Oreochromis niloticus: one gene and its partner. The protein of the gene in region 1 interacts with the protein of each later gene in a pairwise test. Links are inferred from orthologs where the notes say so. Each region holds a gene or a part of one and is shown in the gene's direction. Other genes may lie near its edges. The genes, in order: srfb and elk4.

Region 1 (3,922 bases):
ATCCAAATAAAAAGTCTCTGTTGTAGCCACTAGAGGGCGCTGTGCGGTTAGGTAAGGATTAAACCTGACCCTTGAGGCTTGCCAAACATTTTTTCCCCATTATAATTTGTTTACAGTTTAATGTGGTAACTAGCTTTTAAAGAAGTTTCCTCAATGGGTCTACGTGCTCAGTGAGTTTTAGCACTTCCTCAGTCGTTATGGGTCTCCTCCAAACTTTGAGCACTGTGCACTCTGTGTGTGTGTGTGTGTGTGTGTGTGTGTGTGCGCGCGCGTGTGTGTGTGTGTGTGTGTTGGGGGGGGACTTCGCTTGAGATTTGCACACAGCACCGTGCGCATGTCACTTTTTGGGCCTCGTTCGGTGCGCGTGACATGCCGAGAAGCAACACTGAATAGAAATGAGTCTGTTAACGCAATAAATGTCTTTCCACTGCGGTGATATTATAACAATTTTCCGAGTAAATCTGCGTTTCACCGAACTTTCGATTTTGTAGTTCACTTGCAATAAAAATCCCCTGAGCATCCTGCCACTGAACCATCTTCAAATGCCTCAAAACTCTGGCGTTTGTTTTAACTTGCCCGTAAGACCAGGTGGGTGGAGGTTGTTCCATCGTTTCAAACAGCACACCTAAGTGCCTCTGACTGATTTCCCTCTGATACTTTTTTTTTCTTTTAAATGAATACGGATTACACGTTTCAAAGAAAGCCTAATGATGAATGACATCAGTTTAAGCTGGTTTGTCCTTGCTGTCAGGTCTACTTGTAGAGGAGGAAGCCATCTCTGACGACACTGGTAACACATTTTACTAAGAGGGCTGGAATTGGTGCAAAGGTGAACAAGATGAAGCAAACAGACAGAGAATGCACCTTGCTTAACAGTGGCGTTATTAAAAAGTTGGTAGGAAGCAGCAGGCTTCATACTCAAGGGAACTTGCTTATTACAGTTACATTCCCTGTGCAAGTCGGTGTGCGATAATCTGGCACCTTAAATTATCTCATATTGCTGAATTATCTACAGTAACAGTGCTGCACACATGCGCTTCAGATAAAAGGAGATTATATAGTTCAACTTCCGGGAAAATGGGAGTTTGCTGTGTGTTATAGGCGCTACAACCTGTGGGTAATTAAGATAAATAAATAAAATAAAAGTTGGATGTTTTGTTATGTTGGTGCCTCTTTACTTCTCCACGGTGACGTTGTCAGTTAGCGCAACCATTTTGGTATTTATTCTAATGAGTGTGCTTCGCTGACCAATGACAGCACTACTCAGATAATCCTCAACCAATCCGTACACGACGCTGTGACTCACCAAATAAGGAGAGACAGCACCAAATAAGGAAACATTGTATCTCTTTATAAGGAGGGAAGTAGTTCCTCGGCTGAGGTATTACTCCGCTATCGCTTGCGCTGTCTTAAATTTTGAGGTTTATGTTCGTTTGTGACACGCGGAAAGAGAAATACTGTAACATTATCTGAGAGAAACTTCGACTTGTGTGCGAGCAAATCGACACTAGAGCTATTTTCGGTTCACAGGGCGGACTAGGTGACGTGGCGCAACAATATGGAGGTCGCTCTTCGCGCTTTCCTTTTTGAGAAAGTGCTCAGAGTTTTGGAAATAGAGGAGGAGGGTGAAGCAAACTGAGCCGGGGTTGAAGGGTCTTGGGGGCAGCATCACTTTCGAAAGTTTGTCTCGGTAATTTCCTGGAGTCTCTGAACCATCATTTGGTCGGGTTTGTTTACATATCGTGGCCCGGACGTGTATGCGTTTTATCAGTCATTTACGAGGCAACCGAATCCAGCTTTCTTGGCTGGTGTTTAAAAAACTCGCTCCAGTAAATATATAATGTTACCGAGCCAGGTTGGATCGGCACCATCTGGAAACGGCTCGGGTTCAGGCAGGGGTACAACACAACACGGCTCGGGGTTGGTCGGCAGCGGGATTCGTCCCGTTCTTGTCAGATCAGGGCAAGCTCTACCGGGGGTCAGCGAGAGTACCGGTGCTGCAGGGCGACAGGGGGACAGAGATACCATTGGGATGCTGGGAGCTAATGGTCCAGGGGGTCCGAGAGGTGCGAGGCCGGGGAACGGGACCGGTGTAAACCCTCTTCAGACTTCCGTTCAAAGCAGCATGGTGGGCTTAAGTCCAGGAGTCATGTTGCCTCACGGAGCCCGCTTCGATCCGGACCGGGAGAGTGCGCCTCTGTGCAGCGGCTCAGATAACGACTCGGACTCCGGAGATGATGACGAACCCGTGGGTTCACTTGGGGACAGCAGGAGAGGGGTGAAGCGGGAGAGAGGGGAGATGGAGGCTGCGGTGTCGGGACAGGAGGTAGGAGTATCGCCCGGAGGTTACAGCATGGTGCCCGGAGGGGTCGCCGGGGCAAAACCGGGCAAGAAGACACGTGGACGCGTAAAGATAAAGATGGAATTTATTGACAACAAGCTGAGACGGTACACCACATTCAGCAAGAGGAAGACGGGCATAATGAAGAAGGTGAGTCAGGTGATGCGTCTGGATCTCATCCAGCTGCGCCAGCGTTTGATTTGAGAGTCTCTTTTAGCTGTTGATTGGCCTGGAAGTACAGCAGTGTCACACTGTAGGGTGCTTTGCAGTCATTCATGGAAGTGCACTTGTTAATAACCTTTAAAAAAAAAAAAATCACAGCACCCTGGGACAGTGTGCATCTGTTATTACAATAACCACAAGAAAGACTTTGGGTTTGTTTTTGGGTTGTTGTTTTTTTTTTCATGTGAGCCTACATGCTGCTGACCTGATGTCAGTCTTGTGTCAGTGTATTTCTTATGAAAGACAAAGCCATTGTGGTCCAGAAGTGACTCAGTGGATGTGAGGAAGTCAGAACATTCATGACAGCCACTGGGCTTTAAATAGAATAGAGCAAATGACAGGTCTATTTATGACACCCCCAATCTCAACTATCACACACAGAAACTTATAAACTGACCCACTCATTCATGCATGCATACCTGCACACATACCCCCACACACCTTCACAGACATCCTTGCAACTATTAGATGTTGTTCTCATCACAAGTCACAGCCTGTTCCCTCTGTCACTGCTTACAGGCGGCAGCCATGTGGCAGTAAGCAGCAGTCGGCCTGTATGTGCCAACAGCTAACAAAACCCCAGGGAAACGGACCAAAGAACGGTCAAAGAACACTGAGACAGAAGCGAGAAGCCTGGGTTGTGTGGTAGTGGGGGGGTGCTGTCTGTCTGTGCATGCATTATGGTGCTGTACATTACACAGACGTCCAAGTCTCACTGATGACTTGTCCTGGTTTCCACTTTTGTCAGTTGACTCTGGCTCATAAGCAGGCGACATTAAAGATGACAAAGCTTGCTTCTCAGTCATAACTGCTCCCATTACTGTCTCCTTAAAGCAACATTTCTGAGGAAATTCACAGCTCACCCACACGATTTGATGCCACAATAAAACACCACAGTTTGGTATAGAGTCACGGAGAGTGGATTACTTGAGCTGGGGTCAGCTGTTGACCACAAGCCCAGCAGTTATTGTGATGTGGACTCGGCCACTTTTCATTATGACTTTAAATAAACACTTGTAAGCGGTGCTTTATTGGAGTCCAGGAGTTTTTTTCTCTTTCCTTTAACTTGTCCCTGTGTTTCTTCGATACGGCTGCACCATGCGCTCTGCTGTGTTTCTCTCTTTTTATGTATCCCAGACTGTTGTCGTGGAAACTGAGGTGTCTTTATGTAGGCTCTTGGCAACATGAACACTATTTGACACAGTGTGGGGATGGTTTTCTTTTCTCTTTTCTTTTTTTTTTTTTTGAAAAGGTTGCCCACACTATGCCAGCCATCACAGAAAATGACAGGTGGGTGGAGTGGGAAGATTCATAGATTGGTCTAGGATGAGCCCACTTTCATTTTGAAGGATGCCGTTA
Region 2 (3,922 bases), on another chromosome or scaffold:
TTGCTATTAGATTTAATTACTTAGCAGTGCATTGGTGGATTTTTTTTTTTTTTTTTTTACCAAAAGGAACTACAATGTCACTCAGCAGCACAATTCCATAAGAAACTGGGGAATATACAGTGGTGTGAAAAAGTGTTTGCTCCTGTCTGGATTTCTTTTTTTGTATGTCTGTCACATTTAAATGTTTCAGATCATCAAACAAATTTAAATATTAGACAAAGATAAAACAAGATAACACTTCTAAATGAAGCTGTTTATTATTAAGAGGAAAAAATCCAAACCTACATGGCGCTGTGTGAAAAAAGTCTGTATTACACACTCAACGTTATGAGACGTTTGTTTTCATTTCTTTTTAAATTTGATTTGGACTTATATTATTATCTGTAAGAGCAATACGTTGACTACTACACAGAAGTAGCCCACTGCTATTTGGAACTTTTAGGTAAAACAATAACGTGACACCAAGGGTCAAGACGAGCCGGTGAAGGCTACTTTTCAATGTGTAAAAACTGAGTGGACACAATCCCTTTTTTCATGTAATTGCCTTGCGATTTCTGCTGTGGGGATACCAGCAGTACTGCGAACTGTGAGTAGAAACGTGTCATTTCCACAGCTTAAGTTGTTTAAATCACAAGTAAGTAAAGTACTATTGTTGTTTAGCCACAGAATATATAAATTAACTACAATGACTTTGACATATAACGACAAAGGAAGTGAGCTCAGCGTGAGTTTAATGACGCATTAACGTGCTTTTGGTAGAGCAGGAATTTTTGCAACCAAAAGCAGGTGCGAACGCTGAAGATTGCACGGTATAACTTTTAAGCCGATTTAATAATAACGCTGCTAACATTAAAGGCATATCCAGCAAGAAAAGCGACTATTCTTACACTAGTTTCGTAACTCGAAGGCGTTTGGTGCTCAGTTTCTACCAATAAAAAAATAATCTAGTGCCGCCAGCACACTGAAGCAGTTAAAGGCGGATAATTCACTGAATGGAAGTGTACGAGGAACGTTGAACGCGACAGTATTTCCTGTTCAGAGGATATATCGTCAGTGGGAGCCAAATACAGTTTAATGTGTTTGATGTTCAGGCATTTGCTTGACGTTCTGTTTGAAACTTGTTTCCTGAGCTATGGTCGTATAGAAAGCCCTCCGGAAATGTTTGGGGAATATTTCGATGCGGCTCGACGACTCGGAAATTCAGCGGGCTCCGCGAGCGAGGTAATGTTAGCAGGCAAAGCTAACGCCAGGTTAGCTAAATGCTAACTTAGAGTTAGCAAAATAACAGACTGCTTTGATTTGTTGGTGTACGCGGATGTTTGCGCTCGTGCTAAACGTAGCTTCGAAGCTATAGCTCGAGACTTTCAAGTCTCGAGGGGAAAAAAGACGTCCAGCCTGTGTTGACGGCGACGAAACTAGCAAACGTTACCTATCAACAAGTGGTCTTTTATTTTGAACTGTGTGGGTGCTTGGCTGTGAGAGGGGAGAAAAACAGCAACTCAGGTCCTAGCGTTCGCACCACACAGATAACACACTTCATTTGACTGATTTGACCTAGCTGACGTTATCTGCATAGATAACATTTGCAACTAATGTCAGGAGTTACATAACGTTCAGTGGTAATCTTCTTCCCTGGCACCAGTTTTGACACTGTCCTATTTTTGCCCTGATATCACCGGTTTAACACGACAGTTTGGGACAGATTGTGTGTGTGTGTGTGTGTGTGTGTGTGTGTGTGGGGTGGATGTCTGCATCCCAGCAGGTTTCGATGAGTCAGGACAGATTTATTATTCCCTGGCCCATAAGAAGCTTATACGCACACATGTTGACAGATACTGACGAGAGCATAAGTCATATTGAACCTGTTACTTGGACAAAATAACAAGAATCGCAGATAAAAAAAAGCCAGCGACACACAGCAGCAGCGATCACCTCAGTGATAAGTTTTTGTGCGCAAGAGGAGTGGAGCTGTGAATTACAGGTACATAAAACCTGCAATAGGAGCTGTTATTAAAACTGAAGAGTAAGCATGAGGAAAAAACGAGCTTCTTACAAAATAAAGCTTTTCCAAAACTACATCACTTGTGGATTATTGAGAGTGGGCTCCAAGCATGATCCATTAGACTTTTTAAATAAAGTTATGATGCATATATATGTATAACTCATCAGAACACCCCCCACGTGGGAGGCAGCACTCCAAAAGATAGATGGGGGTGATGTTGGGTGGCTTTTATTAATGCTTTTATTACAATCATTTGATAAATGCGTAAAAGAAAATCTTTCTCACTCACACACATTCAATTCTATGTACTAATGTCCTAATGAGGGAAAATGGTCAATAGATAACAGTTTGTTGCTGTTATTTATTTATTTATTTTTTTAAAGAGCACCCCTTCTTCCATTTATATCAGTGTGCATTGATATATTAGTCAACAAAACAAAAACCTTCTAAGCAAAGTATTACAAATTATTCCTATTCAACAATGATTAAGTCTCTCTAGTGTTTACCACAGAACTTATGATGGTAGCAAGGTTTTCCCTGGCTCGAAACTGGCCTTTATCGAGTTCTGAAAGAGTGTCAGTTATGTACCGTCAGTGTATCAGCAGAAGAAACTTTCCTCACAATTATAACGTGTGAATCGGAATCCTTTTATTGTCATTGAACATCATATGTTCAACCAAAATGGAATAAATAACAATAAAAAACAAATAAATAGCTAACAATTTAAAGAACAAACAAACAGATGTACAAGGTTTATGCAGATGTGCACTGTTGCGCCAAAGTATTGCGCTTGTCCTGTGTGGTGGTGATGTTTATGTGTATGTGTGAGTATGTTTTGTATGTGTGTTTGAAGTGCTGATGTGTGAGTTGGGGGTTGGGGCATGATAGCTTGGGGAAAGAAATTGTAACTGAGTGTGTAAATCCTGGTTTGGATGATATGAACTGAACTGAAATCACAGACCAGCTAAGTCTTTACTGTATGTGAATGGGCAATTTTATCAGATGCCTTCTCATTAAAAAAAATTGTGACTTTAGCAGTGAAGAAAAGCAAACCGCAAATTAAAGGCAGGTTTAATCTGTGTTAATATGTTTTTCCGGTACAGTCATCTGACAACAAAAACATGATGCGACCACAGAAAGTAGAAGAGAAGCAGAGAGATGGAATGTTTTTCAGATTATTCCTTCACTGAAAACATACTGGTTTCCCTGTTGTTGTGGCAGCATTGCTGTTGGAAATAAGTTAAGCACAGGGTTCTCAGTTCCTCACATACATGGACCTGTGCTGGTGCTGAATTATAGGGCTTGACTCAAAATGCTGGGAATTCTATGATATACTACCATTAAAGCCAGTAGGAGAGTGTTTGTGGCACAACATTTGGACAATGAACTGTACAAAAATGGAACCCAGTCAAAACCAGCTAGTCGATCCAGTGCCTTTTGGAAAATACAGCCAGTATGGATGGAGACAAAGACGTTGTATTTATGTGCTGTTTGTGCATTTGATTAATTGCATTCACAGAGCGCATGCATTGCAGTCGGTCCGAGATGGTGAAGGTTGATCTTTTCTCAAGACTCAACTCAAGAACTCAAAAAAACTGAATGATGTTGATGACCACCACGATAGGAACCTAACCAACCAGTGCAGAGCTAGCTGGTTAGCAGTGACTTAATTTTCAAAGAAGAGTGAGTAAATTGTGAAAAGTAAAGCAATTGTGTCATTGTGTTCAATGAATGAAATAATTAAATTAACACTGGCATACAGTCAGCATAGAGCTGTAGACTGATACCATTAGTACTATGGCTGGGCGATATGTGGAAAATCTAATCACAACATTTTTTGTCTATATCACGATACACTGTATACTAATGCTATTTTTAACTACATAGTGCCATAGAATTCAGGAGACAAAATAAAACAAT

Evidence for each region.
Region 2: the proteins of srfb (region 1) and elk4 interact in a two-hybrid assay, tested with the Homo sapiens proteins (2 studies listed by BioGRID and IntAct). The link is inferred for Oreochromis niloticus from reciprocal best matches to the Homo sapiens genes SRF and ELK4.

What each region holds. Positions count from the first base shown.
Region 1 is NC_031978.2:24,480,866-24,484,787, forward strand, and holds the start of srfb (serum response factor b), read left to right. Parts: upstream 1-1,358; 5' UTR 1,359-1,840; coding exon 1,841-2,491; intron 2,492-3,922. UniProt on the Homo sapiens protein: SRF is a transcription factor that binds to the serum response element (SRE), a short sequence of dyad symmetry located 300 bp to the 5' of the site of transcription initiation of some genes (such as FOS).
Region 2 is NC_031970.2:38,506,537-38,510,458, reverse strand, and holds the start of elk4 (ETS domain-containing protein Elk-4), read left to right. Parts: upstream 1-1,005; 5' UTR 1,006-1,221; intron 1,222-3,521; 5' UTR 3,522-3,684; coding exon 3,685-3,685; intron 3,686-3,922. UniProt on the Homo sapiens protein: Involved in both transcriptional activation and repression. Interaction with SIRT7 leads to recruitment and stabilization of SIRT7 at promoters, followed by deacetylation of histone H3 at 'Lys-18' (H3K18Ac) and subsequent transcription repression.